Linked DNA regions of Drosophila melanogaster. The protein of the gene in region 1 purifies or fractionates together with the protein of each later gene. This does not show direct contact. Each region holds a gene or a part of one and is shown on either strand. Other genes may lie near its edges. The genes, in order: gus and Cul5.

What was found.
Region 2: the proteins of gus (region 1) and Cul5 purify together in Drosophila melanogaster (affinity purification with western blotting, with the first as the bait; one study listed by BioGRID). This does not show direct contact.

Annotation. Positions count from the first base shown.
Region 1 is NT_033778.4:5,125,082-5,130,161, forward strand, and holds the start of gus (gustavus), read right to left. Parts: upstream 3,241-5,080; 5' UTR 3,145-3,240; intron 2,443-3,144; exon of another isoform or gene 2,322-2,442; intron 2,262-2,321; exon of another isoform or gene 2,168-2,261; intron 1-2,167. UniProt on the Drosophila melanogaster protein: Involved in the localization of vas to the posterior pole of the oocyte. Required maternally in the germ line for efficient primordial germ cell formation.
Region 2 is NT_033777.3:29,058,510-29,064,614, forward strand, and holds Cul5 (cullin 5), read right to left. Parts: upstream 4,467-6,105; 5' UTR 4,382-4,466; coding exon 4,373-4,381; intron 4,297-4,372; coding exon 2,693-4,296; intron 2,631-2,692; coding exon 2,510-2,630; intron 2,450-2,509; coding exon 2,092-2,449; intron 2,032-2,091; coding exon 1,853-2,031; intron 1,795-1,852; coding exon 1,645-1,794; intron 1,582-1,644; coding exon 1,444-1,581; 3' UTR 763-1,443; downstream 1-762. Other genes in the region: Sirt7 (sirtuin 7), read left to right, coding at 1-170; Bicra (BRD4 interacting chromatin remodeling complex associated protein), read left to right, coding at 6,073-6,103.

The DNA.
Region 1 (5,080 bases):
GGTATACTGATAAAAAATGGCAAGACAAAGAAAAAATAACGAAGAAAAATCGAAATATTTTTCACGAAATATGTATTGATTTAATTAATATATTGTTACTTACTTGCAAAATACAAACCATAATTTGAAAACAGCCACAAAATTTATAATACACAAGAAAACTTTATCGATCTTTACGACTTAATATAGCATGCGAAACAAAAACGCCACGCGATTCTTTTCTGTCTCTTTTCGTGTTTTATATAAACTGTTTTTCCAATGCTTTCAAACTTAAGAATCGAATATAAGCAAATTTGAATATTTATTACTTATGGTAGTACATTATGAAGATATATTTTTTTACTAATGTGAAAACATACTAGCAATACTGTATATATATATATATATATATATATATAGTATTATATTAATCATATAATAATCAGAACAATCACAGATTATCAAGACAACCAGGAATCCGATATTTAGATGCGAGGCAAGAAGATATTTCAAAACTTAGTTAGCGTATCGATCGATTTCAAGTAAAAGGAAAATCGAAAAAAAAAAATTTCGACATAAAAGCTATTTAAAGCGTGCCAACCACTTTTATTCGTATCATTCCTAAAGCTTGTACAGCTAGTTGTCTTATTGAATTCCTTATTGTTTTGATTTCACAGACCGAGTTAAAGCAAAGACAATAGAATTACAAGATGCGTAACGGCCATTCATTGGTTTTGCACTATGCAGCCACTTTTTTGTTGACGGTCAAAATTGCTCTCTCTCCGCTTGAGTAAAATTGAGAGCGGTATAAAATCGAAAAAAATAATACACTTGCTTGTGTGTGCTAAAAGAATAAACGAGAAAGCAAAGACACTAGAATAACTAGCGTCTTTGGAGAATGTTTGTATGTGTGCGTACTTGTGCTAGAAGACGATTTTCGGGCAGAAATCAATTTTGATCTAAGATCCGATATAACATATTTAGAGTTTCGGGCAATTTCGTTGCAAAATGATCTACTCAAATAATATTTAAACATGTATGCCTTGACTATTAGATTTTTAAAGTGTTTCATATAAATGTTTCATATCTTAATTTGTGTTTATAATTAATAATATGTAAAACGGGACTGACGACATCTTTTGCGACATCAATTTTTAAAGTTGCAATGTGAAATATTTAAAAAAAAAATTACATTTCAAAAAATAAATTTCTAAATAATAATAAAAACATACATACATACATTAAACACATAAAGAAAACGTAGAGTTTCTTGACAGTCTCAAAATTCTTTTCTTTATATTTAATATTTATAATTTGTTTTTTGATTTATAAGTAAAACAAAAATATATTTCATAAAAAAATAGCGTTTGAACATTTTTACCTTTAAGGTCAAAAATTCAACTTATTTCACAGTGTGTAAACAGTTTCTTGACAAACTGTATATACAATATATAAAAATACGTTGACTGTTTATTGCAAAAATGATTTCTTGAGACACGAAGTGCGAACATAAGCACCCAACAATCATTGTCTCCTTTATTCTTACGCATACAGTGACAGCCGAAGAGGGCAGCTGGCTGTATATCTTTCCGCACTCTGGCTCTTAAACAAACATTCGAGAGAGCCTGGAGCCATCTCTAGAGCCAGCACCAAAAAATCGAGAGAAAAACAAAACAGAATGCTGTAGTCGAACGTAAAATTGCATACATTTTTTGGGATATCGATAGATAAAGATAAAATAAAAAGGATTTAAAAATGGTTTAAAAGTGTGGGCGTGACCGTTTTGTTGGTAAAAGGGGAGGCGTGGTTACGGTGTTTTTGGTATACCGATAAAAAATTGGCAAGACAAACAAAAATGAAAAAAAATCTAAACATTTTTTTAAAGTGTGGGCGTGACAGTTTGGGGAAGTTTTAGGGCGTTAGATTAGGCGTGGCAAAAAGTTTTTTGGCATATCGATACAAATTTACAAGACTAATTAAATTATTGAAAAATATCCAGAAATTTGTTCAAAAATGTGGGCGTGGCAGTTTTTGGCGGTTTAAGGGCGTTAGAAATTTTTTTTTTGTAAATCGATAGAAATTTACAAGACTAAAAAAAATGTGAAAAAATATCAACACATTTTTTAAAAGTGTGGGCTTGACAGTTTTGTGTGGTGTGTGGGCGTTAGAGTTTGCGTGGCAACATGGGTCACAAACTTGCGCTGCGTCTATGTTTTTAGAATCTGTATGCTGAATCTCAACATTTTGGCTGATCTTGATGCTGATATGGACAGACGGACATGGTCAGATTGTCTCGATCAAGAATATATGTATTTACATATGTTTGTATATACTTTATATAGTCGGAAACGCTTCCTTCCTCCTGCTACATAGTTTTCAACGGATCTAGGAACCCTGTTACTCTACGGGTATAACGAGTATAACAAATAGCGTATAGTCTGAATGACTAAAGGATGTAGTGAAGTAAGTTAAAGTAAACTTTACATTGTGTGAATTAACAATATGCTAGTGTAAAAGCGGCTTGCGCCGCCTTCATTGAGTTAAGCCTGCATATTACCTTTTAAAAGAAAAGTAGTGATGCAGTCTTGGTTTAAATGTAATTTTTATACTAACCAAAATTTCGTATTGATTCAACTTTACTGTTAAAGTTAATAGAAAATAAATGAAAAGTTGCTACAGCACCGACGAACTATTCATAAAAAAAAAATTCGAAAATCATATAACTGAAGCAAGCCCATGGCCAGATCGACTTGTCTAGTAATCCTGATCAATAATATAGTTATTTATATACATATGCTTAAATACTTTATGCATTAGGGAAACGCTTCCTTCCCTATAATATATTCTCCAACAAATCTTTAAGATTGTATGCAATTACGTATGTATGTATTTTTGGTGATATCAGATTCACTCCTAATTAATATTCTTATAGTGTTTTTGTACGCTCATACAAATTCAATCCAAGGAGATTGAATACATGAAGTTCAATATGTACAGATAAGTTTTCACATATAATTATTTTTATCACATATCTCAAATTTTTATCTGATTAACGTTTATAAATATGAACATACATATGTTCTTACATTCCATATTTATAATTAATTGATCAATTCCCACGTTAGATATGTGTGAATTTCATTTATCAGTTCCTGTGAAACTTACATTACTTTTATCTTGTCGATTTGCTATGATTAAAATAAAACAACACATAAAGCAAAATATCACTCAGGAACCTTTGATGCACAAAACATTCATTTGTTTGTATATCCACTTATACCGTACATCAACAGTGTTGTGACATGTAACGATTTTTGTCATGTGCGGAATGAGTGGGATTTTGGAAAAGACTAATAATTTCTTCGAAATTATATAATTTAATTTAACTTCAAAGACCGAAGTTTGGTAAAGACTTTCTAAGTCAAGCCGTTTCAAGATTTAGCACAACATAATGTAAATTAAACAAATTTTAAAATCTTTTTAAATGAAGTTATTCATTTTATCACCATATTACAATTTTTTAAATTAAAGGTATCTGATTGACCCCATGCGTAAAAGTAACTTGATAAGTTTACAATTGCAAATTTTTGGTTTACCCAAACCAAAAAACTGTAATAATTCATAAAAACAATTATCTGTCTCGCTTGTTTTTACGGTATGACAGGCACATTTTACCTACTGTCGCATTACGCCTAAACTGCCAAACAATTTTTCATTTTATTAATATTTATGCCAAAAGCTGGCATTAGCTGAATAACGGGTAAATAAAAAAATATAAATATAAAATAACTAAAACAGTTTATTTTACTCGGCGTTATTAATTGAAAACCGGGTTCTCCTTACCGAATACGGCTCGTTCAAAGAATAATAAAGAATAATTAGATGCTTAACTGCCATATATTGTTTTTGCAGGTTGCACTTTTTTTGATGACATCCGATTGTTTATTGCGACTCCGCGCGGCAATGTGCTTCCTTCTACATTCTTGGCTTTGACTTTACGCGACTGAACTGCCTCTCAGTTCGTTCAACGTATGATACGATAATATACTGTTATTCTACCGCTCGTTTTACATACGCTTACAAATGGTAATATTGTACCTAATTTCAACAACTGTCCTTAATGTTACCATTTTTCAATTAATTTCTCAAAAATTTACACAACATTTCTCATGTATAAGTTTTGACAAAATCTTTTTTACATGTCGGCTATTATTAAACATATCGTTCAAAATCGCTACACAAAACTCGTCTTTTCATTGCTCAAAAACAGCTAATAAACAATAATTTGCAACAAGCTCGCAAAGCTGTTTAAAGCTTTAACACTTCAATTAAGTAGCACTCCGGCATAGGACGTCGCTGCCCCCTCTTGGGCGAGCTATCTGGCTGGACTTCTATTCTATGTTTACTACGATAATAGATAGCCATCCTGAACTAACAAACATAGAAAAGTTGCAGCATCTAAGAACATGTCTGAGGGACACTGCACTTGAAATATCGGATGGCAACTATGCTATAGCATTGAATTTGTCTGTTTGTTTAATATTCCAGGCACACATTACTGAGATTCTAGGGCAAGGGCAGTTCAGAATGGTTCCGTTTCAATGCTTTGTAAACTGTGTGATAAATTCAACGCTCATATTCGCGCGCTAAATGGAATGGGCTCAACGACACAAATCGTTGGATGAATTATCGCCCAAGTACTTATCCAAAAGCTGGATCCGGAAAGTCTGGCGAAATGGGAGCAGCATTTGGAGAACCAGTCTTAAAGAATTCAATTCCAACATGGCATCGTTTCTGGAGCAGTGTTGCAGGACGCAGCCGTAACAAGCTATGCGTCAGTCAACCAGGTGCAAAGTAGCAGAACATCTGATTTGTGTAGGTCTGTCCTTCTTGCCTCAAGCCTCAGCCCTGCGACCTGTGAGTTCTGCAATGTTTCTGGTCACTAAATTCATTAATGTAGAGCTTGAAAAACCTGACCACCGCTAATAGATTCATAGAAGCGAAAATCTTCGCATTTTAATAAATTGCTTTAGGACCGGAAATAAAATGAGGTAGGCAACTCCGATAAAAAGTTTAAGAAAAATGTTTTGTTTTCTTTTTT
Region 2 (6,105 bases), on another chromosome or scaffold:
CTTCCGACGACGACGATGACTACGATGAGAATATATCCTTGGCACACATAGCAGCGGCGGAAACGGCAAAGCGAAGACAGCAGCTGAGCACGAGTTTTCCACGGAAGTTGGCGCGAACCCAGGCAGGATGGTATGGCAAGGGCTATAAGAAAGGTCGGAAGAGACGGTAGATTCCCATTTATGTACGGCCGTGATTCCTCCCTAAGATAAGAAGGTGAAATGATTACCCTTGAGTCAATGGCTTTTTGGAAACGTTTGATCTTATACTTGATATGAAGGAGCTAGCTGTTTCTTTTCTACGGAAAAGATCGACCTGCCCTCACCGAGACATATGCTCGCTTCAATAGTATTTTAGCTATAGGTTTATAAGTCATAGATGATAGTGGCAGCTAGAATAGAATAGGGTTCCTTTTATTTAGACGTGTTTTTTAAAATGCTCTATTTGTCAGTCTTTGATTATATTAATAGGTCAGCCCGTTTTTGTCTATTTTCGATATTTAGTTTAATTTTAATGGGTTTGATTGTATGTCACAATTGTGTAACTCTTGTCCTGGTATTTTGGTGCACTTGCTGCAGAAATCATTTGACCTTGTTTTTAATTATTAATATAGGTTTTTACTTTTAGAACGCTAACCTAACATCCGCCCCTCTACACACGTAAGTTAAATAAAGAAAATAAGCATTATGGTATAATGAAATGCATTCGATTTTTATTCGCCCTTCAGTTGCAGTAACCAGTTAAAAATAAAACTGCAATAGATTCGCTTTCATTATGTGTAGAACCAAATTTATTCATTAACTTAAACATAAAGTATTGCTATTTTAGTTATAGTTTTGCGATCCCGTGTGAGTGTTTGTGTGTGATTAGGCATTCCATGCTGGGAGCGAGCGGAGACGAAGAATTGGCTTCCCCATCAATCTTCAGGAGGTGTGTGAGTCTCACGTGGAACATTGCAAAATACCCAAGAATCAACAGAAGACCAGGCAACGGAAACAAACAAGGGATAACTACACACATAGAAAACAGCAGGTTGATTAGATTAACGCTATCGATCGATATACTCGGGGGCAGGGCGTGGGCGTGGGTTCGGAATTTCCAGGGTGCATGTAGCGCACAAAACATAATATCTAGAGCTACGCAGAGCAGCCAGTGGGCCAATATAAAAATACAAAGTTTCACAAATACAGGACGTGGACACGAGAAAATGGCTGCCGATTGGAGTGTGGGTCTTTTAAATGCTCTGAGGGCGCAATGTCAGTAGCGAATCACGTTTCCATATAATACAATTATCCAATTCCGTAGACAGAAAAAGGGCGCGTGCTTTGAGCACGTCGGCGTTGAGATTAAAATCGCAATAGTTTTTGAGTAGCGTGTGAGGGAATGGAAATGGGAATGACTGCATAGACGGGACTGAGACTAGAGCCGGGATCAGGAGCAGCTGCTTAGGCCACGTAAATGAACATGTTGATATCATCGTCGTCCCGTCTCATATACTTGTTCTCAATCAGCCACTCCAGCTGCTCCTTGATCATCTTCTTGGACGGCAGGAACATGTTCTTCAATATGTCGATGAGTTCACCCTGTAGAAGAATGTTTTTTTTTTAGATCCCTTGAAACGCACAACTAGCTATCGAACAACGAACCTGCAGCGCTGCGTTGTTCATCCGCTTGCGCACTTTCATGATTTTGATAATGGCCTCTTGTGTGCGCAGAATACGCAGTTGCACAATGGATTGATTGTCCTCCTGCTGCGAGCGCTCCGTGCTCAATTGCAGTCGCCCGATGAGATTCAGCTGCGGGTGAGAACTCTGGTTATGGATTATCTATTAGATAGCTAATATGCGTAATCACCTTTCCACGACGCTGGGATTTGCCATTCTTGACAATAGCAAATTCCTGATTAATATAGAACATTGTGTTCTCGGCAAAGTCCTTGGGCGAACTGATCGCCGCCGGTTCCATGAGCAGGATCTGTTTCTTTATCTTAGGGAACGCTACCAGCGACCACAACGTTCGCCTCAGTTCGGGATCTTAAAAATACACAAATAATTATCATCAAAGCGAAAAGTAAATTTGCAAGCAATCCTAACCTGGTAGTTCTGTGGCCAGGCGGAGATTCTCGTAGGAAATTTTGTCATGCTGACGCTGATTCCAGGCAAACAAGACGGCCATCTGGAAAGTGGTCACATCCAGATCGTAGCGCCCGAAGTTATTCACAAAGGTGATAGTGCCATTGCTCATGTGATGGTACCACTGCAGCTTACGGCCGGAATGCTTCTTCTTGTAAAACTCCTCCACATCAGGAATATAGTCCTCGAGCTCGATGGGCAGTGAGACCGAGACTCGCTCCGAACAGCGGGCCCAGGCACCCGCGTTGAGTATTTTTATGTTGATAGCATCGTGCCGACTTATCGAGGTGCGGAATTGAGTATTTAAGTCTTCGCTGACCTATATACGAAAGGGGATAATGAATAAACCTGCTCCTAACATCAGTCTGGTAAAACCTACCTTTATGTCTTGGAACATGCGCGCCAGCCGATTCACGTAGTCCGCCGGCATGCCCACCTCCCTCAGCCACTCGACTATGTCCTCCTCCTTTTCGCTGTCCGCACTGGTCCCCAGAATCAAGCTGTAATTGGAGGAACAAGAGTATGTAATCGCTTCATTTGAAACATTATGCAGTCAACTTACCGCCTCGTCAAATGAACTTTGTGATAGCGCATAAAGACGTCCTTGTTGTTGACGTACTTCAGGACCAAGAGGACATCGCGCAGACGGGCGTCGATCTGTTCGCTGGTGAGGCGTTTGCTGAGCGGCGTTCGCCGCAGCAGCATGTCGCAATAGTTGGCCAGTAGTTCCGGGCATTTGCTCTCCGGCGCTGTGTACTTTACACCCCGATTGGCGATACTCGTGGGTAGCTCCATCTTGAACACGCTGGTGTCGTTGACTACCGTCTTAAAAGCAATGTCGCGGGCAGTGAGGAAGCGGGGATCGTCGTTGAAGGCGTTGCGTACCAGGTCGCTGAACTTGTTGAACAGCTCAAGTAGCCGCTCAACGTACTTTTCCGAATCCTGGGTAATCACCTCCGAAGCGGACAGCATGTCGGCCAGTCCGGCGGACATGATGTGACGCTGCAGGTCACCCATCATGGGCTCCACGCCAACGCCGTGCATCACTCTATCCATCAGGCGGAACATGAGATTCAATCGCTCCGTTTCATAGTCCCTGATCAAAGCCGGACACTCGGCGATGATTGAGTTGAGGTGGTCCACTATGAGCACATTAACCAGCGTGTAAGTAAGTATACTGAAGCTGCTGGGCTCCAGATACCGCTTGGCCCTAACCTCCTCCTCACGCAACTTTGAGTCGGCGTATTTCATATAGGCCAGCACTCCGTTCTCTTGCTGTTGTTCGGCGGATTTCAGGCGATAGAACTCGACAGTGGCCTTAAGGTACGCCATCTCAAAGTTCTCCCTGTAGATCTCTAGTTTGTCCTCTGCATTCGAGGAGAGATTCACATAGCTCTCGCGCACGCCTACCACTAGCTGGGCATCATAGGCATCGCCGTTCCGCTCGGCGTGCACAATCTTCATGGCCGACTCCTGCAGACGATGCTTGATGTCGTGGAATATGTGCTTGTTCCAGGAGTCCAGCATTAGTTTTCGTACAGGACTGTCCTCCGTGGGGTTTTTCTTGGAGGTAGAGGTGCTGCTGCTGGAGCTCCCACTTCCGGAAGCAGCTGCAGCTGCCGCTGCTGAGCTTGTGGAGGCGGATGTGGAGGCTGCAGCAGCGGCGGCTGAAGTGGAGGCTCCAGCTGCGGCTGAGGTGGAGGCTCCTGACTTTCCAGCCTGGCCGCTGCAGGAAGTAGCTGCTGCCGCCGCGGCGGCACTCGTACTCGCTCCCGAGGCGGAGACGGATGCGGAGGAGCTGCTGCCACTGGAGGAGGGCTTCACCTGGGGCGACTGCTCCAGCTGGCGGAAAGGCAGCGGCAGGTAGTTGGACTGTGTAAAGAACTTCCGCCACTCCACAATATAGGTGGCCAGAAGGGCCTGCTCGCCCCGTTGCGCTTGCACCTGGCTTTGGGCCTGGACGATAAACTCAACGATGTCCTGCTGCAGGCAGTCGTAGATCTTGGCCGCGCCCTTCTCGTCCCACAGGCACACGAAGTGTACGCCGAAGAATAGGTCCTGCCATTCGCGCTGCGACACCGTGTCCTGGCGCAGTAGCTTTAAAACTATTCGCCTTTTGTCCGGCCAAACTTCCTCGAAGATGTCCCTGTCCCGTTTCCCGATTGCCTGTCGTACAGGGAGATAAAGGTATATGTGCACACTGAACTCTATATGCGTTTTCATCGCCGATCAGGTCACTTACCCGTAGCATTTTGATCGTAGCAATCTCTTTGTTTTTGTTGCTGCGTCCGCTTCACTTCATTTATATTTATTTTTTGTAATTAGGCGATACGATACGATAGTTGGCTATCGACCAGTGTTGGTAAAATTTCGCCCGTAGGGCTTATCGCCCATCGACCAATCGATTTCGGGCAGTCGATAAAACAACAGTTCGGAGTGCAGCAAAAGTGCGGGAAATCTGCGGAAATGTTATTAATCGAACATTAAGGGATACCTCGCCCAGCCGCGGTAATAATAACCAAGGAGAAATAGGGCAATAATACAAAGTTGTCTTGTCGAGGGTTTTGTGAAGTTCGCTAGTTTGCCCACTTCGTTTTGGTTTTTTTCTTCTCTACCTCTTCGTGCGCGAGTGAGACAAAAGCAGTACTAGCAGACATCTCGGTCTAGCACACGTCCCCGACCTAATGTCTGGTCTGCATTGTTTCAGGGCTGTCAGATGTGCCTGAAATACTCAGTTCCGCATTTCAAAATATCGCTTACTATTTCGTGTTCTAAAAATAATATATTTTGTTTTTAGTGCGGAAACTTGTATGGTTTTCTTTATATTCTTATTTGTTAAACTAGTAAAATAAAGTTATTTATCAATTTAATTTCGTTACGTTATTGCCGTCTTGATGTTTATTTACATTCAAAAAGTCTTTCACAGACAGGTGTCAACCCTAGTTTTTATAACTTATCGTAAACAACGCGCTTAAATCTTTATAAATCACAAAGAGTTTTCTAAGCTTTTATTAAAGTGACTGTTTTATTTATAAACATTGAATTCTTGTAGAAAACCATATTTTTTAGAGTGAATACAATCGATGGTTGCGGGGCAAACATCGATGCTGCCAGTTATCTGTATACATCGATAGTATCGACTAACCATCGGCTTCTCTTCCAGCTCTAGCATTCACCATTTCCCTTTGTTTGCGGCGGCGGCGCTCGTTGTACGGCCGTGCGAATCGAGAGAAAAACGCATAAAATCGGGGAAAGTGCACTAGCCCCGTGCTGCAATGTAAATAAACAAGGCTCTGATGAGCAGTTGCCGATCAAGTGCTTCGATTAGCCAGCAAAATGTGCGTACAAGGCGAGAATCAGTGACGAAAACAACAACTACGTGCTGCTGCGTTCATTGACGTGACGCGCGAGAGTGAATGTGTGCGTGCGTGTGTGTTTGTGTGTGTGTGCTGGCTGCTGGCGAGTGAGTGTGTGCGTGCTCCCCATATGTGTGTTGTCGAAAAAGCGTTTTTCAAACCACAAGCCAGCAACAAACAAATCACAACAGCACGTCACAAATTGCAATAGAAGCAGAAGCAGCAACACCTCAAATCAAAAAAAGGCCCCACAACAACAACATCTGTCGAGTTCTCAGAGAGTGAGAAAAAGAAAGAGCGCGTTAGAGTGAGAGAGGGGCAAAAAGAAAGTCAACAGTCGCGTGTGAAATGAAATTCGAAAGATGTCCGCGTGTGTGTGTGTTGAGTGTATAGAATTGAGTAAGAAGCAGCGCGGCAAAAGGAAATAAGCAAAAGCAATAGCCAAAAGGAACCAACAACCAGCAGCAACAAATTACCCAATGAATCAATCAAAATTGGCATAATTTGCATTCGCCGACGTTATTGTCTATAAAACCCCCCTGAAAAAAACACCACACAACAGAAGAGCAGCACAAATCTTTTGCCAATGAGTCGCAGACAGTCATTGGATCGACCAGGT